Oryzias latipes: one gene and its partner. The protein of the gene in region 2 interacts with the protein of the main gene of each other region in a pairwise test. Links are inferred from orthologs where the notes say so. Each region holds a gene or a part of one and is shown on either strand. Other genes may lie near its edges.

Evidence for each region.
Region 1: the proteins of topbp1 (region 2) and cip2a interact in a two-hybrid assay, tested with the Homo sapiens proteins (2 studies listed by BioGRID). The link is inferred for Oryzias latipes from reciprocal best matches to the Homo sapiens genes TOPBP1 and CIP2A.

Annotation. Positions count from the first base shown.
Region 1 is NC_019878.2:3,262,008-3,273,902, reverse strand, and holds the end of cip2a (protein CIP2A), read right to left. Parts: intron 11,440-11,895; coding exon 11,343-11,439; intron 11,115-11,342; coding exon 10,992-11,114; intron 10,545-10,991; coding exon 10,399-10,544; intron 10,326-10,398; coding exon 10,250-10,325; intron 9,053-10,249; coding exon 8,831-9,052; intron 8,152-8,830; coding exon 7,989-8,151; intron 6,648-7,988; coding exon 6,500-6,647; intron 6,389-6,499; coding exon 6,289-6,388; intron 6,220-6,288; coding exon 6,101-6,219; intron 6,012-6,100; coding exon 5,837-6,011; intron 5,268-5,836; coding exon 5,193-5,267; intron 5,075-5,192; coding exon 4,964-5,074; intron 3,483-4,963; coding exon 3,286-3,482; intron 2,962-3,285; coding exon 2,848-2,961; intron 1,830-2,847; coding exon 1,747-1,829; intron 1,653-1,746; coding exon 1,513-1,652; intron 1,297-1,512; coding exon 1,150-1,296; 3' UTR 628-1,149; downstream 1-627.
Region 2 is NC_019878.2:21,467,194-21,480,492, forward strand, and holds the start of topbp1 (DNA topoisomerase 2-binding protein 1), read right to left. Parts: upstream 8,369-13,299; 5' UTR 8,303-8,368; intron 8,297-8,302; exon of another isoform or gene 7,952-8,296; intron 7,454-7,951; 5' UTR 7,447-7,453; coding exon 7,360-7,446; intron 7,256-7,359; coding exon 7,121-7,255; intron 7,045-7,120; coding exon 6,901-7,044; intron 6,499-6,900; coding exon 6,317-6,498; intron 5,795-6,316; coding exon 5,601-5,794; intron 4,759-5,600; coding exon 4,582-4,758; intron 4,486-4,581; coding exon 4,328-4,485; intron 4,231-4,327; coding exon 4,067-4,230; intron 3,151-4,066; coding exon 2,912-3,150; intron 2,815-2,911; coding exon 2,477-2,814; intron 2,389-2,476; coding exon 2,216-2,388; intron 1,815-2,215; coding exon 1,603-1,814; intron 1,529-1,602; coding exon 1,224-1,528; intron 1,147-1,223; coding exon 961-1,146; intron 399-960; coding exon 280-398; intron 25-279; coding exon 1-24. Other genes in the region: dnajc13 (dnaJ homolog subfamily C member 13), read right to left, coding at 9,884-9,981, 11,488-11,587, 11,677-11,820, 11,899-12,039. UniProt on the Homo sapiens protein: Scaffold protein that acts as a key protein-protein adapter in DNA replication and DNA repair. Composed of multiple BRCT domains, which specifically recognize and bind phosphorylated proteins, bringing proteins together into functional combinations.

The DNA of each region.
Region 1 (11,895 bases), about 18 Mb from region 2:
AGTAGGAACTTTGACAGGAAAACTAGAGAGTTGGTCAACATTTTAGAAAGCAGAAAGATGGATCTGCTGTGTTTTCAGATGGAAAGAGATCCAGACTGGTAGATTGGAAGCAGCTCCAAGCTGTTTTATCATGATGTGGATGGAAAGAGGAGCAGAGGAGGAGATCCTGAAGGAGGAGTTTGATCAGGAGGTTCTGGAGGTGAAGAGAGAGTCAGATAGGAGGATGAGTCTGAAGCTGGAAGATGAAGGTGTGATGTTGAATGTTGTCAGGGGTTATGACCCCCAGGTAGAATAGGAGCTGCAGAGGAGAAGGAGAAATTCTGGAGGGAGATGGATGAGGAGATCCAGGCTCTCCAGAGGAGAGAGTGACGATTGGATCAAACTCTAACAGACATGTGGGTGAAGGGAACAGAGATGAAGTGATGGAGAAGTTTGGAGTTCAGGATCGTCAGATGGTGATGCACTTTGTGAAGAGAATAGAAATGTCCGTGGTGAAGACTTTTACCTTCTAAACCCGCTTAGTTCTGTTTGAGATCATGGGTGAGCTGGATCTGACCCAGCTCCTGTCAGTAAATCCTGAATAGTGCACCAGTCCATCAAGGGCCACACAGAGACAAACAACCAGACCTGAGTCAGCTCCAGGGAGCATTTTAATGTAAGCTATGAAACACATTTTTGGACTGCGGAAGAAAACCTAGGGCCGTCTGCATGCAGCCCAGTAGCCCAGCTTTTTAAAAAGCTAAAGATTCCACCCCTGTGTTTAAGCTTGAACTGTTGTCAGTCTGGGTTTTCTTTAGAAATTGCACCAACAACATTGTACCAGCAGAGGGAGCTGCCCCCCTGTTCTGAAAATGCTTTTCCAGTCAGATATGAACAACATGAGGCTCCAGCTTGTAAAGATCAACTCAACCCAAAGCAAATCACTTGGATCTGAAGTTTGACCACAATGACGTTTCCACTGTTTATTTGTCAAATAAAAAGTGATTTTAAAATGTCAATAAAATATCAATTTTGGGTAAAAGTAATTCTTTAAGCGTTTTATTAAATCTAAAAAGCTTCCTCAGTTGTGAAAGTCTTCTCAAAGGCCTCTGAAGTTCATGGAAGACGGTGTTTCAATTAGGATTTTCTCAGCCAATCATCTGCTGCCCCTCAGAGTGACAGGTTAACGTCGCTCTTCATCTTGCCGCTGCTCAGGCTGTGAATCATGGCGATCATGGCAGAGTGTTTGTTCAGTTCCTCTTCTCTGAGCTTCAGTTTTGACTCCAGTTGACTCTTCTGCAGCTCTAGAGAGGAAGCCTGCAAAGCAGAACATGTTCAGGCCGCTGCTTCCATGTGAAGTTTCTCAGACAGAATAGCACACGGAAAGCTTTGAGACACCAAAAACATTGTTTTCTGTGCTAACAGTGTTCAATCACATAATTTGAATAAAGAATATTAATCTTAAACATTTCCTGTGTTAAATTGAAAGGACAGAGAGTGCACATGTCTAAGGGTGATGAGATGGCCTCGTACCTTAATGCTGGCGTCTTTCCTGGCCTGTTCCGTTTTGTTCAGCTCTTTCCTCAAAATGTCCAAAGTCTCCTCCAGGTTTCTCCTCTCTGTCTCCTTTTCTTGAACCTTCTCCTCCTCGGCCTGCAGGCTGACACGCAGACCTGCCAGAGGACAGAAGCAAAGACAGCGCATTCCCAATACACCCTCTAAAGCTCTCAAATTCAGCCATGAGTGATCTAGAGCTTCCACACTGACCTGCAATGTCGCTGTTTTTCCTCTGGATCTCTAAATGGAGTGCTTTGATCTCCTCCTCTCTCTCCTGAAGAGCAGACGCCGTCCTGTAGAAGCAACAGAAGCGTCAGCAGAGACGTCAGGCTGTAAGGCCTGCAGCTGTGGACTGTCTTTGTGGCAGAGTGGGACCTCACTGCGCTTTGTGGATCTTTGTGAAGAGTCTTCCCTAAAATCACCGTCTTGTGTCACCTCTCTGAGGGGGGCTCAGCTGTGGCGGTTCAGAGCTTGGTGGTCTTCACCCCCGACAGGATCAGAACCACGGGGTTGTTTGCTGAATCATGGTCTGCTCTGCCCAGCTCTCTTTGCTAGTGTCTCATGGTTGATGAACTGACAATGCTATAAAGCATTCAACCAATTGTTTTCCTATTTTTCTTTCTTAATTATAGTATCTTCTGCCATTTTTTGCCGCTTAACTCCTTCTACAATTTTTCAGCTATTTTATCTATTCAACTATTCAAATGTTCAGCTCTTCCAGCTTTTTCCAGCTGTGACTTTTGGACCTTCAAATCCTTGACCTTTTCAAGATATTCCAGGATTTCTGCTTACATTGAAATCCACGGGGAATCCTTGGTGCTGAAGCTCGCTGGTTCGATACCCGGCTCTGGCATTTTTCACAAACATACCTTTTTTGTTGTTGTGCTGTTTTCACTTTATTTATGGTCAACTTTGATCATTTATTGATTTAAAATTCTTTTGCCAATTATAACTCTAACTTTCATTCTCATTCAGCAGTTCAGCATTCAAGCCTGCATTTTCTTCTGGAAATGCAGCTCCTTGTAGTTGGATCTGTTTTGCTAAGCTTTAGTAATCCAGGCCAGTATTTGTCATTATATTCATTTTCCTCCCCATTATGTGAGGTAACATTGTTGGTGGGAAGTGTTTTGTTCCAGTAAGTGATTCAGCGTTGGGACTTTGGTGCCTAACCTCCTTTTGCTGATGCTGTTATTTAGCATTTGGTCGCATAAATCAGCAGTTTTGTTCACAGATGGATTGCGTGTTTTGTGTAAAAACTGGGTGGAGAAACCTTCATCTAGAGATGAGGGGGCAGGACTCAGACACAATCACCTGTGGTGCTGCAGCTGAAGAGCATCGTGGGTCTTCTTCAGAGAGTCGCTCTGCTTGGTGAGAAGAATGTGAGCGGTCTGCAGCTCCTTCAGCAGCTGCTCTGTTTCATTAAACCTGCAGAGGAAATGTTCCAGAAAGATAAAAACCAGGGGGTCTTTACTCCAACACACTATTACTAAAGCCTTTAACCAATGAGCCATTTAATGCTTGGTTCTGAGAATATAAAGGCCATGAAGTAACACAAGACCTGCCATAAACGCCACCGGATTAAGGAACTGGCCAAAGAAACTAGCAAAGCTGCATCAAGGTAAACAAAGTTGAGAATTTCTACTTAAAGAAGGGGTCCAGCTGTCCCACACAGTCACAACCAAAAGCTATTTCATAAGCAGAAATAAGCCTGCAGGGTTGATGTAAATGCTCCTCAGAATTGCCTCTGACCTGTTGAGCAGGGAGTTGTAGGCTCCTTTCAGAGCCTGGTGTTCCTCAGAGTCCCTCTGCAGTCGGCTGTTGTGCTGCAGCAGCTCTCCCATGTCGGCTTTGGATCGCTCCACCTCCAGAGCCTGGCAGCTCAGCTTGCCCTGCAGATCCTCCCGCCGGCGCTCGGCGTCCTTCAACAGACTCGCCAGCTTCCGAGCCTGCAGGTGGAAAACCTCAGCAACCATCCGCATTGAGCTCTGACATCTGTAGCCTTTTTCTAATTACTGTTCTGAATCGACAGCATCTTGGACGGCAAAGTCTGTCTTTTGTCTGAATAAGATTTCACAAAGATCTATTATTTTAAAACACTGCATCAGTTTTTATTTTGTCAATAGTTGGCTCAATGTTATCCCTTTTATTAATTAACACGGTTATGTATTGCGGTTTAGGTTTAAGGCAGCTGGAAGATTGGCACATAGAAAATCAGGGTTAGTTTCCCAGGGGGGATGATGAGCTTCATCCAGTGCAGGTCCTTAGACCCTCAACACTGTAGCCAACTATGTAGCCACAAGGGGCCACAAGTCTGGGTCCCCCTGTGCCGGTGTAGGTACCACAACCGTTCGGCCTGGAACTTCCGTTCGGGGTCCTTTTGACTGAAGGTAACGTCACACTACGGTAACCCCACTTGGACAAACTACGTAGCATCGACATCTGCAAATTTTCATTTCACGTTCCCTTTTGTAACCTAAAGTTATTTTCCCTCATAAATTGCGTCTGACAATATTCTTTGTAATTTTTATAAATAGATTTTGCCTCAATCCGCTTGTTATTCCAGCTTAAGTTCAGCCGTGGCTGAAAATGTTGTTAGCACGGCTAAATGTTGTGCTTTTGGGTCCGTTCTGCCAATAATGAAGCACTGGACGCACAATTTAAAAAAACTATAAGCGAACATTAATTTTATAATAATTATAACAATAATAAAGGCACGTTTGTTTACAACAGACTTTATAACATTTTCCTCTATGGTAGTATTTGTCCAGACCAATCACTATCTGACACGTCATCGGAACAACGTACAGCCAATCACATAATGTGACGTCAGCATTAGCCCCAGGACGCCGAACGGAAGCTCCAGGCCGAACGGTTATAGTACCTACAGCGGTCCCCAGGCCAGATAAAATACAGGGTTATGTCAGGAAGGGCATCCAGCGTAAAAATCTAGGATATGCAGAAAGGTCAACATCAAACATTCATGTTTAGCTTTTACAACAATTGACTTATCACGAGGCGAGCTACTAATAAAGCTATTTATATATTCTTTAAGTGATCAGTTATGTGCCTAAATGCCACATTTTAAATGTGGTATCATATCATTGACATATAGGATGAATACTTCCGGTCCTTACATTGACCCATGTGGGACTCTAATCCACAGCACCAGGATGCTGTATAAAAATCTAATTTTTACCATTAGAACAAACGCTCTTCTTCTATAAAAGTAGCCTTCCATTGTGGCCTAATACCTTGGTTTGTAGAAAGATCTACTGATCAATAGTTTCAAATCCTTAAGATTGTAAATCTTTATGTGTTCATTCAGTTTGATAAATACTAAGATCTTCATGGAATCTGTCCAACCATGTTGCTTTCAGAGTTTGGATCTTTCACAAAGGTTTGAATTCTGACAGGTCGTCTGCAGTACCTCTGCCTCTGCTTGAGCTCGCTGGAGGCGGTACTGAGCGATGAGACGGTCGGCCTGAGAGAGCGCCAACGCTTTGGCCTCCAACAAGTCCTGCAGACGGCCCTCCTTAGACTGACGGGAAACACAGACACATCTGCTACAAAAGCTTCATCTGCTGAAGTGCAGCTCTGAGATAAGACAGTGAGCTCAAACGGCGAGCAAACGGGAAACAAGCCTCGGGAAACCTCACCGCAAACGCAGCCAGCTTCTGCTCGTAGACCTCAATGATGTCCGACACGTGCGAGTCCTTCATTTGCTCCTGCAGCTGCCGGCAGAAACACAGAGGGTTCAGCAGCGCAGACAGGCCACACGAGGCCAACAGCACAGGGTTCAAAATGTCAAACCATCTACAGAATAGAAAAACCTCCTGGCTCGTCGCCCACCTCTGCACAACAGGAGAGAGGGCCCACTGAGCCTGCAGCGGCACAATAACAACTGCTAACAGAGGACAGCTGCTAACTAATATGAAGAAAGAAGACTCATCAGTTCATTAAAATCAAAACTTTCTTCAAACCAAAAGAAGCTGTTTTTAGACAGAATAAATGGATCATTTGTAAACTAACTGAAATGCTGAATGTGTTTCTTAGCAGCCTCACTTCTTACTAATCAGACTTCTTTGTTTCAAAAGGATCAGCACTGCACTGATATTTGTGCTTCACTCTGATACTTGAAAGCTCATTAAAACCCAGTGAACACGCAAAACTGAAGGAGCAAGTCTAACCAGTGAAAGGTAAGTCAGTGATTGGCGGCACAGGTCTGTGGGATGCTGGGGGGGTTGCAGTCATGTGTTTCCATGCATTCACTGTCATAGTAAGACGCTGGCGCAGGTTGTACCTCCAGCCCACTCTGGATCTTCTCCGCCAGACTGCTGATAGTCTTGGAGGAGCTGGAAGTGTCCATGCTGCTGTTCACCCTGGGAGGCGGGACTTCCTGCACGGCAAGCCTCTTGATTGACAGCTCAGCCTCCCTGTGGCGATATGCATTGTGGGCAGCAATGCTTTCTCCTAATCTGGAGAACAAAAAAAGGGGTAAATTATTAAAAATTGTTTATAGGCATTATTAGAAAACAATATTTACTTTTTCTGGCCTATGACTCACATCATTGAGGGGAAGTCTGGAAGGGGCGTGGCTTCAAGCAGCAGAGCGAGAGCAGTCTGCACATGCTCTCTGTGGTGGGACGTCAGGGCCAGAGAGAGGGGAGTCACAATCCTCTGATCCTGCAAAGGGAAACAAGTTAGAGCCAAACTTCAAAGCAGCAGATGAAGATGCATGATGATGAGGAGCACCTGTAACATCCTGTAGAAGCCGGTCTCCATGTCCTTCACCTGCTGCCTCAGTTTGCTCATTAACTCTAAAGTCTTCAGCAAAGCCTCTGCGCAGACCTGACTGTAAGAAAACCGCACCAGTGACATCTGCATTACCACCGCCCTTTAACCGGACGTGCATATTGGAAATGTTTGCAGCTTAAATCATACAACAACAGACAGACACTCTCACCTAAGGTCATCCTCACACTGGGGGGGATGCAGGGTGACTGAGCCGTTACTATGACAACAGGAGAGGAGAGTCTCTACCTGTGTGAGGCAGAGCTGAGCACTGACCTGAGCTGATACCACAGACCTGCTGGACTCCTCCAAGCACAGAGGTGACAGAGTTAAGGCTTCAGAGGGGAAGAGCTGCACACACCACACCACACCACACCAGGAGTCTGCAACCTGACGCCCCCGCAGCCAAAGGTGGCTCTTTAATGCAAATGATTACAACAAATAATTCATTTGCAGCTTGGATTATTTTGTTAAGTTTTATCATTTCTTTTTAGGTTGTTAAGTCAGATCACTGAGCAGTAAAAGGTTTATTCTACTGTCAAATTGGTTTATTATTAGAAAATGCTTAAAGCCCTGTTCTGATCTTCTGCTGCAGAATAGTTAGTGGTTGCTGTTCAGACACAAAGCTCTTTAAAGATGCAATCCAATTAAAAGGGCGCTTTTAACATGATCTTGTGGTATTTGATGGACATCTTGTATAAAGAAAATTGATCCTAGAATTGTATTTCATTATTCAAATTGTTGTGAATCAGGAAGAAATAAATAACGTTAAAAAAGGTCGTCTACTTTTTACGTAGAAAATACGCTGAGCGGGTCAAAGTCTTCCTGCTGTGCTCCATTCTGATCATCCACTGTCAGACAAACAGATCCATGAACGTCTGGATCTAAACTGGACGGCTGGAGAGCTACGATATTGATCGCCACTTTTGCTACACCAGTTATGTTAGGTGTGGGGTGTGAGGGGCTGTGAGCTAGTGGGAGAGAGTGTAAACAAAGGATGTTGGGAAATTAGGGCAGGCTTTCCACGCCAATGGTTCCGCCCACAACTCAGATACAAATTTCTGATTAACTAATGTCGCTCTGCAGAAACTATGTCCTAGAAAATGACACAGATTTTCGATCTTGGCTCAAAACGTTATAATCATAATTCAAAGATCACTGGGAAAGTAGATCAAAAGATTTACATGTATACATTTAAAACAAAAATTGGATTTTACACGAATGCTGTCAGATTTTTTTATTTATTTATTTAATTTTTTTAATTAATCAATTAATTAATTAATTAATTAATTAATTAATTAATTTTATTTATTTATTTTAATGTTCTTGCATTTTCAAAACAGGTAAATCTGCTGCAGCAGGAGAAACATAACACAGGGTGTGTTTTATTTTGAAAGGAGCATGTATTTCTGGAGATCAAATTGTTCCACCTAGAAAAATAAAACACTTTTGTAGTTTAATCATTGTAAATAATTAAAAGCTACATTCATAAATAAACAGCTGTATTTATAATAAACAAATGTATTTTCTAAATGGTGCAGTGGGACTCAGCGGTTCTCACTGGGTTTTGACCTGGAAGAAGCTGTTCCAAAAGGCTCTTTTAGCGTTTAAGGTTGCAGACTCCTGCTCTACAGAGACCATCAGATGTTTGTGGAGGATATTCAGCAGCAGGTTGGTGACATGTGTGACACGCTGGCAATGCTTCCTGAGGACCGCGTCTCCTTGTGCTGGATCCAAACTCTTCAGGAGACCCAGCAGGACCGGAAGGAGCATTTCCACAAAACTCAGCGCACATTCAGACACGCTCTCTGCTGCCAGCGACTCCTGAGAGGAGAGAGAGTCGTGACGAGAACCTGCACCACACGGGCAATGGGGAGAACATTCATGACGCAGGTCTGACGAAGATGAGGGCGTTGTGACAGAGTTTTACTGAAGCAGCGAGACAGTGGTCATGAGTCACTCGCCATGGATGTGTTACACAGTGCGATCAGATAACTGGCTCCAACTGTATTTGTGAAACAACAACTTTATTCTTCAGATGTTAACATTTTAATGTTTACTGCAACAGAATTGGGCTTTAGGAGGCTGGGAAAATTCAAAGAAAAAATTAAATGTGTGCATGTGAATGTACAGAAACAAAAAGTGCTGGTTGTAAACCCAACAAGAAAACTCTGGCTTTCCCCTTTGAAGCTTTAGTTTCTTTGGTTTCCATAGTGACTTTAAATCAGCTCACTAAAGCCCCAGACGGCGGGGCTCATGTAAAGTCTGAGTCTGAAATACAGCAGAACTAAGGTTTAAAACAAACCTTCCGCTGAACAATGTTCCTCCTAGAAACGCACAAAACCTTCTTTTTCTACGTGTTTTAAGGCGTTTGGATGCAGCAGCACCACCAGCATTGAATTGACGCAGCAGGATGATAAAATGCACCTTTTACAGAAAAATGACTTTTAAAGCTGCATTTTAAAGCACTGACCCACTCTAATGGGTTGTCTTCATGTCCTACCTCCAGTAGCTTGTTCAGCAGGCTCAGGACCTGCAGTGAGCAGGACTCGGCGCCCTCCACAGGCGAGGTCAGCCACTGCACCAAAGCCAGACCACACTCCAGGCCCCCACCCTGCTTTCGGCCCACAGCTCTGAGTTTGGGTGCAGCCGGCCTGAAGACCACGTCGCACAGCTGCGAGCGCAGGCCGGAGACGCAGCACATGGCCAGGACAAGCTCCAGCACCTGCACAACACAGACAGTTCAGAGGATTTCCTGGAGAACCTTTCAGAACCCAGCTTTGCTTTCCATTTCATTGTTCTGGGAAGAAAGGACATTGCTGGTTTACAGGAACCAATGATTCCATTGCTTTAAAAGCTTCCATCCAAACTGTCTGCTGTAGCGTGAGCAGCTCTGAGTCCTCACAGTTCCTTTGACCTTTAGGCTGAACTTATACAAACAGTAACATGAGGAAAATGAGTTTTGAAGCTGTCATAATCCTTCACAGACTGATGTGCAGCAGCTGCTCTAGTTATAAGTAGTTATAGCATGGTCAGGGTGAATTCTCGATTCTGATTGGCTGCTGGGTGTGGATTAAAAAGTGATATACCACAGTGATATACCACGCCTAAATGTTCTATATCACTGCGCTGGCTTCTTTAAAACAAACTCCATCCTCTGGACAAAAAAAAAGCGGTCACGTGTCGCACCACCAAATAGTCCACTTTTTGTGAAAACAGTGATCCAAACTGTAAAAATAACAAGAATCAAGTACTGAAAACGAGTTGGATATTTATTTATTTTTGTAAGTGACCATGGTATAAGTGGGATAATGGCCTTCGAAGTGAGCATCATCAGCATTAACTCCGCTTTGCGTCGGACGGTTCAGGCTTCCATGGCGTGCGTTAATCTCTGAAAATGCGCCTTTCGTCTGCCATTAACCCTAACTTATAATGCATAAATAACGTAGTGGTTAGCACTCTGGGTTGACAGTGAGAAGGCCTTGGTTCAAATCCCAGCCGGGGCCCTTCTGCGTGGAGTTTGCATGGTCACTCCGTGTATGCGTGGGTTTTCTCCAGGCACTCCGGCTTCCTCCCACCGTCCAAACACATGCTTCAGAGGTTAACTGATAACTCTCCAGTGTCCCTGGCTGTGACTGTGAGTGTGTATGACTGTTAGGCTCTGGCAGGACCCCTGACCCCGAAAGGGATACAGCGGGTTAAAAAGACGGTTGGATGGATGGATGGATGGATGGATGGATGGAATAACTAAAGCAGCCGAGCAGTGACATAAAAAACTATTTGTGTTTGTAAAATACTGAACACTAAATTCACATAAAAATGCTTTTTCTTCTGCTTTACAGCGGCAGGTTTCACAGTCTCATCTGCTCATGACTTAGTTACCTCTAGCATCAACTGTGTGTTTAGTAAATGATCATCTCACCTTTGTCGCAGAGTCAGCATCTTTGGAATGCAGAAGGCCTAAAACTTGAGTCACACACGCCGAGAAGTGCTGATATCTAAGAAGGTAAAACCATCTTTGTGAGACAACTCTGAGCAAACGGCAACACACCATGTTGTTCATGAAGGTACCTGGTCAGATGCTCTGCTATTTTGGGGTTCCTCAGCAGGTCGACCAACAGGTCAACTGCGTACTTCCTGGTTAAAGTCCCGTCGCCATTTACGATTATGTTGAACACGAGCTGGAATGTCTGGTGGATGTTTTTGGCATCGAAAAGCTGGTAACAAAACAAACCCAAACAATTTTTCCAATTGTCAATATGCAAAGAAAAAAAAAGGAAAAGGTGAAGGTGCATCTAAGGTAAAGCATCATTTATCATAAAACTTTAGATGCACAAAAACGATGTTAACATCTGTCTGCTGAGGAAACACTCATAGGAGGGTCTTTACTGAAATAATCAGTCAACTGAAAGACAAGAACCGGCTAAAGGATGATCAGATGAGCAAAAGTCTGAGTCAGATTCCAGTAACCTGAAGTAATGCAAAGCATCAGCCTCCCAAGGTCCTAAAAAAAGGTTTTAGGATTTTCTTCTTTGCTCAAGAAATGAAAGGTCAGTGTTGGGTCTGTTCTCTGAAAACAAAGAAGGAGCTGAATAGAACCATAAAAGAGGTCCTTCATGAAGCCTGCAGAACAGAGAGAAGATGCTTTGTCAGCGCAGACCTACCTTCTCTCCCACCTTCTCATTCAGAGTGAGGCTGGCCAGAATGGACAGCGTGAAAACCACCACCGTCAGGCTGTTGTGAGCCAGGAAGTTGATCAATGTTCGGTAGAACGGCTTCACGTTATCCTGCACAAAGGTTGAGTCACAAACACAGAGCATCAGACTGAACATCAGTGTTCAGTCAAACTCATGATCCATGGTTCAGTGGGCTTTCCAACAGTAAATAGTTGTTTCTATCATCTTTTTTGCATCAACATTTTAAGCATTAAATAAGAGGGTAAAACCCAAACACTGCTGCTAGTAAGGCTTTCGGTGTTGTGTGATTTCTGGCCAAGAAGTGATCCAGCAGCTCACCAGAGACTTGATGTGAGTCTGAACCGAAGGGTTGTCCCGACAAAGGTTGGCCATGAGGCCAAGGCACGGCAGGATGATGTCATCACTGTGCGACTGGCTGTGGACAAACGAGAATGGCTGACAGACCTCCATGGCTATGTCCGAACTCCCTCCTTAACTACTAAAAAACGATACAGTGCAGAATAGGCCTGCACAATATACAACAAATTTATCGTTATCGCAATATCCAGCTCTGCAATAGGCATATCGCAAAAGACTGCGAATGTCGCAATAAATCGTAAACCCAAAATGCGTTAAAACAATCTTATGGCAGCTTAACGCTTTTAACGAATCAAAGAAATCCCTTTATGCTTAGACCAATCAGATGGACGCTTTCCCATTGTTTACCAATCAGATGGAGGCCTATCATATTAGATGTTTGTCACATATGTCGATGAGGGTCATTTGGAGTATAATTTTAAACTGTTGCAATGGAATGGGAATGATGTTTTTGGCATTTTTCTATTTTTTTATATACCGCAAATTATATCGTTATCGCAATATTAATCTCTAG
Region 2 (13,299 bases):
GTCACCGTGTCGTCATAAGCCCACCTGCAAAAGAGAAGAAGAGACATCATTTTCATTCAATGTAAAATATTTCTTCACAATTGGTGCTGTTTTGCAACCGGCCTTCCCTGAAGCCTTTTTGATTCACTTTTAGTTATTTGTTATATTTTGTATGGAGGGTTAAAAGGGGCGTAACACTTTGTTTACCGGCCATGAAAGCCTGGTGCTGAAGGCGGAAGAAGAGGCAAAGTGACAGAACACAGAAGTACAAACGGATTTGAGTGAGGAAGAGTGGAAAACCTGAAGTCTGCTCCCAGTGAGGCAGCGACGGCGTTTAGTTCAGTCTGCATTTTGCTCAACTTCTTTCCCACACAGACCACAACTCCAGCCAGCGGTCCGGCTTCTTTCTGCGGGTCCTTCTGTGCAAAACACAAACACAGTTTCATTTTAAAGACCCACTCCAATAAAAATAGCATTTTGGTGTTTTTAAAATGCTCTTCCTGCATTTTTCTGATGACGGAGAACATATATAAATAACAATCTAAACTGGAAGTTGCATTTCTGAGTCTTTTCTTTGTTCTGATCAGGAGCTCCCTGCTCCGCTCCATTCTGATGCAAACAGATTCATGCACGTCTTTGTTTTCCTCGTCTGAGCTGGAATCTGCATCAAAACTGTACGGCTCCAATATTGCCGCACTGCTAATGTTAGGTCGGGGGTGGGAGGGGCTGTAAGCTAGCTGGAGATCCCTAAAACAGAGTGGTGACAGGGAGAGGGGGCGGGGTTGCTCCGTGCCGACGGTCCCGATAACAACTGCTGTTCTGCAGAAACTACTTCATCATAGTCCTAATTAAAAGACCACTAGAAGACTTTAAAACTGGACCAAAGGATGACTGAAGTGAGTCTTTAAACACATAAGGAACTAAACCACAAACTTGTGAAAACTGCAGACAGGAGATGTTGTGTAGTTCTTTCATTTTTACCTCCTTCTCAGTGGATTTTCCCAGTTCAGGGCTTCCAGAAGCCGCCTGCATTTCTGAGACATTATTCCGCGAGCTATTGGCTAAAGCTACTTTCAGATTCCTGTTGATGACATCAGTAAGTGGAGTCTCCACCTTCTCGCCTGGCTTCAACCTTCCCCCTGGAGTCTCCAAAGCTCCAAGAGCATCCTGGAGAGCAAAACCCACAAAGGTTTCAGGTCAATAAAGGAAAAGTCTGCCCTCTTTTGCTTTCAGTGAATCACAACCTTGACGTTGAAGGACGGACGGAAGAGCTGATCTCTGCTGAGGAAACGGGAGGGAGTGTCCAGCTGCAGCGACGCCTCCCTGTGGGCGTGTCTTCTGCTGCCATCCGGGTTTTGTTTGGGAGTGCTGAGGCCGTCTTTGGGCTTCATCTCATCCAGAACAGAGTGAAACACTTTGCTTTGAAAGCGACCTAAATCCAGAGGGGTGACAGCTTTACCGCTCTGCGGGCCCAGCAGGGGGATTTCTGGAGAGTTACGAGCTTGAGCCGGTTTCTGGGAGCCGCCGACGAAGCTCTCATCGTCCCTCTCTGTAGAGGAGGAGAACATTAAAAGATGATGCCAACAATGAATCACCACAGACGCGCAAATGCTGGACTTTAACCTGGTGAAGGAGGTAGATCAACCAGGAACATCTCCTCTGCTGCTTTCTGTCCTGTTCGAGCCGACTCCAGAATCCAGTGCATGCTCACAGCAGGGAGGCCCCACTTCTTTGCTGCCTGGAACTTTGTGCCGTCTGGACTCTGCAAAACCAGATGAGTGCTGGCCACCATGCCCTTCTTCTTAATAGCAAAGCGCACAAAGTAATCCTGGACACTGCAGCAGGCAGAAGATGAGGATTAGGATAACTTAAATCAGGTATCATATTTAGAATGAACAGAAACCACTAAAGTCCCACTCCAGTCATCTTTTGATCTATTTTGAAAGTGTTTTCAGAGGTCTTTAATTAGGATAATGCCATTTTTAGCCAAAACTTAAAAAACTGTGTCTTTTTCTATGACATAGTTTCTCCAGAGCAACAGCATTTTTTGTCTGCTCCTGATTCACAACGGCTAGAACAAATAAATAATTAGAAACGCAACTTTACGCTTAATTATGTTTATATATGTCCTCCGTCATCATAAAAAATGCCACTAATCGGAGTGGGTCTTCAGGAGTTTATGGAATATTCAGACCCCTGCAGCCGTTCTAAAAAAGGTCACGGAAGCTCATCGTACTCGGCTCCGACATGCTTGGCCAGCTGGATCAAAGACTCCCTCTCTGCTCCGATGAACTGGCTGACTGAGAGAACGCAGCCCTCCAGAGGGAAGCAGCCCTCCCTCACAGCCACAGGAGTGAACAGCGGGTTGGACGACAGCAGGAGAACACACTCCTTCTCCACACACATGGCCTGGCAGGGAAACGCCAAAGAAAAGACAAATATGAGAAAGCCGGGATTTGCAGAAAATCCGGGCAAAAATGATGGGTTTTGTTCTTACCAGCCACGTATCCGTGACCACCTCGTCAACTGTGGCCTCGACCGAGCATCCCAGCAGAGGAACCACGGCATAGTCTGCCACCGCGCGACAGCGGCCAGCCAGCACCTTTCCTCCATGTTCAATCACCAGCGTGGAGAGCTGTGCCTCCGCCTCAACACCAAAGCCCACGAAAAGAAAAGACTTCCCAGAAAACAGGCCCGTCTCGCTGAATTCCTGCAAAGCGGAGTCCTGCTCTGGTCCCCTGGTGAGGCTGGGAGCCTGGGGCTTCGACTGAGGCTCTGCAGCCGCACTGATCGACCTTCTGCCGCTGTTCTCTGCAGCTGGTGGTGGCATATCAACTGGAGGATGAACGCGGGGAGAAGCATTGGCTCTCAGATCCACTGAACTTGAACCAATTTCTTCCAGAGTCTTAAAAACAAACAAACAGATTCTTACCCACTGTGGGATCATCGTCCATATACTGAGAGAGCAGATCCTCCTCCAGTCTGTTTTGTCTGGGGGTGCTGGGGCTGGCAACAGGTGGACCGGCCGAAAGGCGGGGCTTCACCACGTGACCGGCGGGCACGGATGCAGAATCGGGAGGCAGGCAGTCGGGGTGCAAATACTCAGCTTCTGGAAGGAGCCTGCCTCTGGAGTAACTGTCCAGCAGCCACTGCACCGTGACTACATGAGGCCTGTGAGGAAGACCACAGCAAACGTCGAAACTGCTTCCTGCCTCTCAACATTCAAAAACACACTTATTTCTTGATCCTTACTAAATATTACAAGAAAGATGATGTTGGATACGTTATGGCCAATCCATAAATCCATTTACATTTTATGCTTAATCTGCTTTAAATGTTTAAATGAAACAGAGAGTTTTCTGTGTGATTGACAATCGCTTTCTGCTTTCAGTTGTGGTTAAATCGAAGCCTTTTAATGGTCATAAATGAATTTCGGTCTGTTCAAACAGTTCTGTAAAATAAAGGGTTACAATCAGGTTCAGCTTAAAGTTAATCAAAAAATTGGATTGTAAATTTAAAAAAAAAGAAAATTCAAATGTTTTTTAAACTTGATAGTAAACACTGTAAATTTAAACAATGTTCATTTTAAATCGGAAGGACTGAAAACTATAAACCTTAAATTGTTACCAAATGAAAAGAAAATGTTTATTTATAACAGCTGCTGTTATTTTCTCTCCCTTTTTACTTTCATTCCTCAATTTACACTTTTTTCTGTTTTTTTAATTTGATCCTAATTTTACATGATTGACATCACATCTACAGTTTCTAAAAAAGGCATCAAAAATCTGAGAAATGTAAAAATTTGTGACTTAAATGGCAAACTAAATTTAATATTAATTCCATTTAAATGTCTAAAAAAAAAATCCTACTTTATTTATTTATTTTACATCCGAATAATTCAAGTTTATCTGCAATTTCTTTAAATATTTGGATGCAGCTTGATCACAAAAAATTAGAAATTATTAACTCAGAACTTAAATACTTAAATTGACGTTTAACTCAATCCAAGCGGCACAAGCTTAGAGTCAGTTTAAGGGAAAAAAAACATTAAATATTTAGACACAGAATTTCAGGGATTTTATCAAACCTGTAAGCTGCTTTGGAAAGAAACTTTGTGAGTTCCTGGTCCGGCTCTCCCATCACCACATGTGTGAGTTCCTCGCTTGGTTGGTTGAAACGTAGACCTCCTGCATTGTTGACAAGACGCCGCAGCTTCTCCAGCTTCTTCAGTGGAAGGCCGCACAAATACAGCTGTGAAGTAGCGAGCGCAGAAGAGTCCTGCCTTCAAATCCTGCACTTCACTTTCAAACAAGCATCGACAGTAAAATGGAATTTGTCAGTGATTTACCTTACAGCCATCCAGTAAGTCATCAGCAGGACAAACGGTGAGATCCAAACCATCTATGGGATCGGCCGTTTCCAGGCGGCTGATGGTGAGGGCCGTGTCGTTGATCGCCATACTGCCACTCACAGAAATGTTGCTCAAGCCCAAAAGCGAAGGACCATCTAAAGGAGGCAAATGTTGTTTCACAAGACAACACGTTAAAGATGTTTCGTTTTTTAAGGTCTAAAAGGTGAATTCTGAGCCTTTTTGTTCCTCGCCTTCCTTCCTGCCGTTGCCTGTGGGGGTTGAGGTGTGAGGTCGGCTGGTATTTGACGCGCGGCGCTCCACGGCGTACCTGCTCTCATCCTGACAGAAACCTTTCTCTATGCTGTCAAATAGCCAATGCAGAGATACGCAATACACATTCCATTTGCGAGCACACTCGTACTTCTGACCTGCAACAAAACATAAACCTTCAGAACAAAAACACCACCAGTTGTGTTAACTTCATTACTAAATCGCTGTTGTTGTTTTTTTTTTTTGATAATGAGAAACTTTTTCTAAAAACAATCACCTTTACAATTCCAGATTTTTTACACTTTTGGAAGAGTTTTACAGGAAAACAACAAACTAATAGGTTCATTCTAAGAGGGGTGACACAAAGTGGATACATTTGAATACGTTTACACCGTAAGCATCAAACACATGCGTTGTGCTAAACTTAATATATGTAACATTATTTTATTACATTACACTAATTGCTACTTGCTTAAAAGCAAATTTAAAAAATAATTCTCCATATTGTTTTTGTTGTTTTTGTTGTTGACGTTTTGTAATACACAAATCATATATCAAACAAAAACAAAACGGTGACACAAAAATTGAAGCCTCAACCAAAGGGAATTGTTGCATCCCTAAAGGATTACACAACAGCATCAGGCACACCATGATTGCAGGCAGACAGCTGCATGAAAATGATATTGATAAGTTTGTTTGAATCTAAATCTGCTTTGACTTATCAGGTGATTGTAGTGAGAGCAAACGTCTTTCATCATGACAGTATATTATGGAAACACAAACTAATATGCTTGTAAAGCAGCAGTGATGGGTGGTAGAGTAAAAAAATGTACATTTTTTATCAAAGCTTTATTAGTAACAGTAAAATATGACACAAAAGAAGAGAAACTCATTACAATATGAAACAGTTCGTAACTGTGTTAGTGAATGTTCATGAAAATGAGGACGTATCGGGTATTCCTATTATAGTCCAGTTTTGTTCTATATTTTAGTGTCTCACCTGCTGGTTCACTGACAATGAGGTGCGTGCACTCGTTCATTTTAAGCTGGCCGCTGTACTTGGCGCCGTGCTGTTCACAGAGGCGCTGCACCTCTTTGCGTTCTGTGCTGGACAGGCCTGTCACACAAACGGTGCATCCGAGCAGCACGGGGCACAGATATTCATCCATAGGCAAGTCTGTGTATCTAAAAAGGCTGAAGAGAGAATAAAAAATATATAACTCTACAGAAACTTAGTTTTATGAATCAGCGGTAATCTATGGAAACTAGGGTGATGAAGTGTAAAGAGTAAAAATAACAATACACTATTAGCACTTATAATAAAGACCACAAAGGAGCAAATATTCATTGATTCATTCATTCATCTTTCATTTTGTCCCTTTCGGAGTCACGGGGCTGCCAGAGCATATCCCGGCCACTTGTGGGGGAAGGACACCCTGGCCAGTCTGTCACAGGGTAGACTGTCCACAATCACACACCCATTCACTCTCACTCTCATGTTTTTGGGCGGTGGGAGGAAGCCGGAGTCCCCAGAGAAAACCCACGTATGCACGGGGGAGAACATGTAAACTTCACACAGAAAGACCCCCTTTTGATGTTCCATTTCAGGTCCCCCAGCCGGGACTTGAACCAGGGGTCTTCTTGCCATGAGGCAAGACCGCTAACCACTGCGCCACCCAGGAGCAAATATGTAAAACAAAAATAATCAGTTCATACCTATTCTGAGATTTTTCCCAGCAGGCTTTGACCCATGAGGGTAGAAGGATGGGTTTACCCAAGTTGGCAGCCACCAGATACTTTTTGCTTCCAACCTCCCCAGCAATTAAATGTGTGACGGACACATTAAGATCAAGGCAGGCACGTCCACCCATGAGCTGCACCAGATCCATCACATCCACCTGCAGAGTGAGACAAAACATAAACATGAACAAACTCAAGGCCCGAAGGCCAAATGTGGCCCGCCATGTCACTTTATGTGGCCCGTGAAAGCATAAAAGTGATTTAGTGTCAATTCATGAGGTCACATTTGGGTTTTCATTTAACCTAAAAAAACAACAACTAATTATAAAGTTTCTATTCTGGTTTCATGTAAAAAAAACTGTTTCTTTTATTCTCTATATCAAAAACTAACAGCAGAGATATTTGTGCCTAAAAATGCAAGAATCTGCATTAAACGAAATGATGCACAGATTTAATTAACTAGTTTTCAAAACATTATCAGTGCAATACATGCAAATAACACAACTGCAATGAAATGGTGCAACAGTCTCAGCATTTTTCAAAGACAGACCAGAACTCACCCGTGCGGCTTTTTCCAGGCTGGTGCAGGAAATAGTGACATCAGCCATGGCCATGTTGTAGACCGGCTTCTCTGCTTTTGGGACGCAGCGTTGCTGCTGCAGGCAGTACAAAACCACCAAGGGGCTCACGATTCTACAGCCATGCTGCACAACACAGAGCAACGAAGCGTTCATTCCTAAAAATCCTGCCAGGAATTTTGCTTTCACTAAGGCGACAAACCTTCTTGCAGTGCAGAAAGGCAGGAGAGGTAAAACTGCTGAACACAAACAGAGACTTGTCCTTCTCTTCCATCTGTAAAACCTCTTCCTCTTTAACCTTCTTTAAATATTTTTCAGACTGCAGCTCCAAAATGGCCTGTTAGAATAGGATGAAAATTATATAATAAATACTAAATAAATATACATCGATGAACATCCAGAAAAAAACGTCTGCAGAAAGGACTGTGCAGTTGTGTTTACCTCATACGCTTTAACAGCATATTCAGCATTAGATCCTTTACTCTCCACAAACTTCACAATAAAGCGCTCCTTTTCCACTTTGGACATGTTGAGTCTACACAAGAGTCAAAATAAAAGTTAGAGAACATCTTCTTTACGTGCCCAACTTTTGATGCCATGTTTATATCAGCATGCAATAAAAATCAAACAAAATGAATTTAAAAAGTACATTTGATGGAGCAGTAATTTAAGGATTTAAAAAAAAATCATTAAAATTATAAACACAGCCGGGGAGCATTTGAGTTTGTTTGGATTGGAAGCTGCTAAAATCTGGGTGCAGCATAACAGCTGAAATAGGTTTAACTGCTGGACATGATGGGACGGCAGAGTCAGCTAACATTCAATGTTAGCACTGAACGCTAGCTAGACTTTTAACTTGAAGTTTTTTTTTTTATTTAGCGAATTTTATTCTGTAAAAAGACGCCGAATTGGGAAGACGTTTAAAATGTGCCAAAAGAATACAACTTGTCATCATAACTAAATGTTACAGACCATGGAACGACTCAAGAAGGAGTACATCATCATGAATATATTTAAACTGGAAAGTACTTACCTATAAATCCGTTTAGACCAGTCCTTTAGGCCGCAATACAGACAGCATGTAATCAATAGTCTGGTGTAATGCGTACAATGCTTTTTTTTTTTTTTTAATTCAAGGAGTCGCTACGTTTATACTTTCATTTAGATCAAAACTACTACTAGCTTACAGAAAACGTCCAATCGGGTTAGCTAACATTCAAATTGTCAAAAACGAAAGAATACTTAAGTAAAGTAAGTTGGTGTTCAACATTCTATTTTGCCAAAATGAATAAATAAATTGACATAAAAATACAAGTTTATTCTAATAATAGTAATTTTAAAAAGTCCTCAGGCTCAGCCAAATGAAATGCAGTTATTTGTTTACATTGTTCGCGCCTTTCGGCGTAACTTCCGGTGTTACTCCGTAATGTGTCCGAGTGGAATCGGAGATCTTTCTTCTTGGCCGGGACGGCACGCATTTAGCATAAAACTTTAAAAATATATATCCGTCAGAGTGTCCATATGTAACTCACTGTCCTAGTAAAATAGTAGTTTGAAACATATACCATTAATCACCCTAAATGTATTTGGTTAAAATTAAATTAAAAAAGCTACATGTCTGCATGTACAACTTCAAAGTCATGCCCGGCATGTGACGTCAATAGTAATTTATCTACAATTTGGTTTTCACTATCCCCCCCCAAATAATTATTTTGGGCCATACATTCCCACACAATCATTTTCCCTATATGACAGAAATTCATCAAAACATTTGTTGTAAAAATCTGTATCAAAGCCAACTGTCATTCAGACTACAAATACGTCTTCTGTAAGAATAAATATACAATAATATTAAAGATTGTTTATTTAATCAGTTACAGAAATACCCAAATTACCCTAAAATTGTAAAGAAGACTTAGACTCAGTAGGTAGTGGAAATATTGATACCTTTTCATAAAAAATATAGATAATCTTAACTGAATGTTAAGCAATTAAAAATATATATTTGACAATAGTATGATTACTAGATTTGATTATTAGACAAACAGAAATAGACATACAAAGAACAACACTGTGGGTTCCCTTTTATTCTTAAAATTTTATGTACAAGTGTGACAGATTTTTTATTTTTAAATGTACATTCATGTAGAAATTTTATATACGCAATATTACATGGAACATTTCACAAATTGCACTAGTCTTTCACAAATATTCTTAATCAGTCACTCAGGTCAGCAGAAGCTCATTCCGGTGGTTATTTTTCCATTTATAAATATTCTAGTGCTTTTTGCTTTCTGGGAGGAGAATTACTTAAAATGAGTCATGGAAGAAGATTAAACTAAAGAAAACAGAATCAATGATGAAGAGTCGAAGGCTGGAAAATAAAGGGGAGCAGATTCGTGTAATGATCCCAAAAACGTATGCAGGTCGAAGGTTTGATCTAGAGTTGTTCATTTGCGCAAACCGAACAGAAAAAGTCATTTTTTTCCCCATTACTGGTGTATTTTTAAAGACAGTTTTGTGAATTACATGTCATGTGAGAGGTGAAAAGGTCCAGACACCATGGAGGCAAATAAATCCCGTCGGAATAATTTCAGTTTAACGCATCAGAGGAAGAAAAACATTCCCTAAATAACAAGCCTTGGTTTGCCTAGAAAAAAATCTAGAGTAAAAAATATATTCATACAAAAGTAAACTTTTTCTGTTGTTGAAAGAAACAAGAAAAAATTAATAGAAACAAAACAAATGTGGTCACTAAAAAACAAAAGGTTTATGAAGACTTGAGTGCATAATTTTTTTTTCTCTTTTGAAAGAAGGGAGATTGATGTCTGAAAGATTTTGTGACAAAAGGTGAGGGCCCGCTCTTCTGTTTTCCCTCTCCCCGACCTTTTTCTGCTGACCAGACAGTCCGTTGGTGAGGCTGCGGGGCAGTCCGAGTGTCTGAGCGTGACTGCACGCCGCTTCCTCAGCCTAGGTCTCCAACGTCATTGTCCACAGGGGGTGGGACACTGGATAAAACTGTGGTGCCAGTTCCTGCTGTTAGGTAACCCGCCACTCCTGGACCTGCAGATAAAAGTAACACGAGAAATGATGGATGGGAGTTCTTTTTTTACATTTTTTTTTTTTTTAACAGGAGTTATTAGAAAACCTCTTAAGCTTCTCTACATTTAACTGGCTTTAGATGATTTAGAGAATTTTTTGGGATAAAGCTTATTAGACAATGCAAATCTTCACTGTCAGTTGTGAAATTTTCCGGACCCTAGTAAAAGATTAAAGCCGATATTGGCGTTGTATGGGCTGCAGGCGATACCTGCCCCCAATTTTACCCGCCTTGGCTAGCTGAGCAGCTTCTACACACCCCTTACTCTCCCATTCTGCCCCCGTCACCCTGTGCCAAAAACTCATGAAAAAACAAAGAAAAAAAACTTTTTCAAAATGGTGGCTTTTCTGTTAGTTTATCTCCATAGCAACCATTTCATGTTTTGGCTGCCTGGAGGTGACGAACTGATTTAAGTAATTTCTAAAAGAATCTGCAAAAGTAAATTTTCAGATTTCCTTGGCAACAGAGGTTTTTTTTTTTTTTTTGTCAAGCACATTCCTAATATGCTTATTCTGTATGTAATATCATTTTGTTCAGCCAGAACCGACAATCCATGTATAAAACTTTCACAATATTCTGGTAAAAACTGTGCGAGTAAAAGGGGAATGCTCGTGTTCAAAATCTACAAACATTAAAACCAACATTTTTCCAAATCAAACAGTTAGTCCTGTGGCCATTCTATAACAGTTTTTAAACTTCCTTTGGACATCCCAGACACGTCCTTTATTTTTATTTTTTTTGACCCCATTCATTTTTTGATGGTTTCTCCCATTGTGATGCCATCTTTTTTTAATTATTTTTTACATTTATTAATTTAAGATCACCTTAATAACTGCACTTTTCAAGTTTTGGACATTTTGAATTAAAATGACTTGATGTCAATTAGTTACTGGAAAAAGCAAACATAGAAGCCGCAAATCGGCCTCATGGATTTTCCGATTTTAAGAATCTTTGTCAAACTAGACAGTAGAGACGCAGTTCGGGTGGATTCACTAAAGAGCAGATCTAAGGTGGAGGGGCGAAAAACGACTCAGAGTGCGACAGAGTTGTTAGATGAATAAGGATAGACAGGGAACAGGAAATGAATGCAGATTGGGAGCCAGGTTGGAGTCTACCTGCATCAGAGCAAGCAAGAGGAGGGCCAAGTTCTGGAGTCTAGAGCCCACCTCGCAGTGGGCTGCTGGCAGCCAGGAGAGAAGGAGTGGAAACCCCTAAGAAGGAAACGCAAGTGGCAGAAAAAGAGGACAGGAAGGGAAGAACCAGGAAGTCACAGGAGAGAAAAAGGGTCGCTGGGTTTGAGCATAAAGTCAGGAATTAGCCAGGTGGTTTTTATTAAGGGGTAAAGCAGAGCATCAAGGGGTCAGACTACAGATATTACTTACCTTTTTAGGAAATTGATCACGTTAGAGAAGTTGCAGGTTAAATTGTAAATCAGAAATGTAAAAAGAGTAAAATAAAAATCCCTTCACCTGTAAGGTAGCCGGCTGTCTGAGAGTCTGAGATGAAAAGATCGTGTTTCTGGTCTTTGAAGGCACTCCACACTGAGGACTTGGAAAGAATTTCATTAACCTGCAAAATTAGAAAAGGGTTCACAGTTACATGAACAATCATGGAACCAAGAAGGCCAACAAATATTAGTCTAAAAGATTTCGTCATACCTGCTCTCCGTACTGCAGACTGCGAGTCATAGACTTGAGAGCTTTAACTATCTGGGCCTTGGTAGCTGAGGGGTTTTCTATCGTCTCCAGACCAACTCCTTCCAGTAATTTCAGGAGGTACGGAACTAAATCCACCCTCAGAGCCTGTTTACATCAATTCTGTTAGAAAGCTTTCAAAATAAAAGTCAACGTAGTAGTGGGGGGGAGAAGAAGAAAGAATACCTGAGCCACCAGATCCGTCTGCTCCTTTTGAAACATGCGGTTCAGAGCTTCACAGGCCACGCCCGCCATGTCTGCCCGCACTTTCATCGCAGCCATCAGAGGACCGATTGTCTCCAGAGACGCCATGGAGCGCACGCAGAGCTGCAGGAAGCAAGCGTTCCCTTTTAATTGCATTTTCAGGAGAAAAGAATGCTCCAATGACACTTGATTCTACATATTTGAATCTCAGTTTTGCATGTCTACATGAAGATACTCGACTGCTTTAGGCCACATTTGGGGAGTTTGGTTCAGAGGGGCAAATATTGGACAAACATAATAATCATAGTGAAACAAATTTAAAATGATAGTTTTGTAAGTTGTTTTTATTACTTCCTACTTGTTGTCAACAAACTAATGGATGCTTAAAAGGTTGGAGAAAAAAGAAACAGAAGGAACAGCCTTCAGGCTCTTTTATACACAATACAAGAATAAAAGATAACAGTAGTTGGTATTTTTTTGCAGATATAATTTAATGTTCTTTAGATTGGCAAAAAAATCTGCCAATGGGGAAAGAAAAATGGTCTTAACAATAATTTTCATTTTCATTCTAGTCAGAGATGTTCTCTCAAACTAAGATTATTTCCATACTGAAAATGTTTCTAGATACGATTATTTTTCTTGCAAAGGTCAACAAGGGTCTTTTAACTTGAAGATTCAGTTTTCGCTGTGTACAAATTCACTTCAAACTATGTTTCAGCTTCAGCTGTACTGAAAGTCATCCTTTTAGCAGATGATACACCGATGTTCAAATTCAAACGTTTATTTGAAGATCTCAAAATTTAAACGGTTAACTGGTTTCGTAATAATAAGCTTTGGGAAAAGATTTATGTTTTTTGTTGATAAACACAGGAGGAAGAAAAACTATTGATGGACAGACAAAATGAAAAAAAATTAGCTTAGATTATTTTGGATAAAAAATTAGGAGTAAAGTGGATAAAAGTGACTGTTTTTAATAATGAGTATTATTTATCCTGTCATGTACTGAGATTATTCTATCATTCACATTCAGGGGTAATACATAAACCCATTTTTTTCTATCCTTGAATGATCTGTATCCGTAACTATCTTGTTTGGTTGTTATTTGCTTTTTGTGTTGCGCCTTAAGAAAAATCTGGTTGTAAACTTCCACTTCATGAATAAAACGGGTTATTTTTGTACAAAGTGCATCTTTCACATGTCCATTCTTGCCGTTTTGTCATTTTTGAAGTCCTAAATTAAAAACCTTTGTAGAAAGGGGACTTGCTCATGCTGTGTTTGTGGCTTTCCCCTGTTTGCTTCCATCAGTCGATCATTAGAATTTGCTGCCACCAAGGCGGTGGTGATGACAGAAATGGTGTTACCTTTGAAGTCATTAGCTAGATT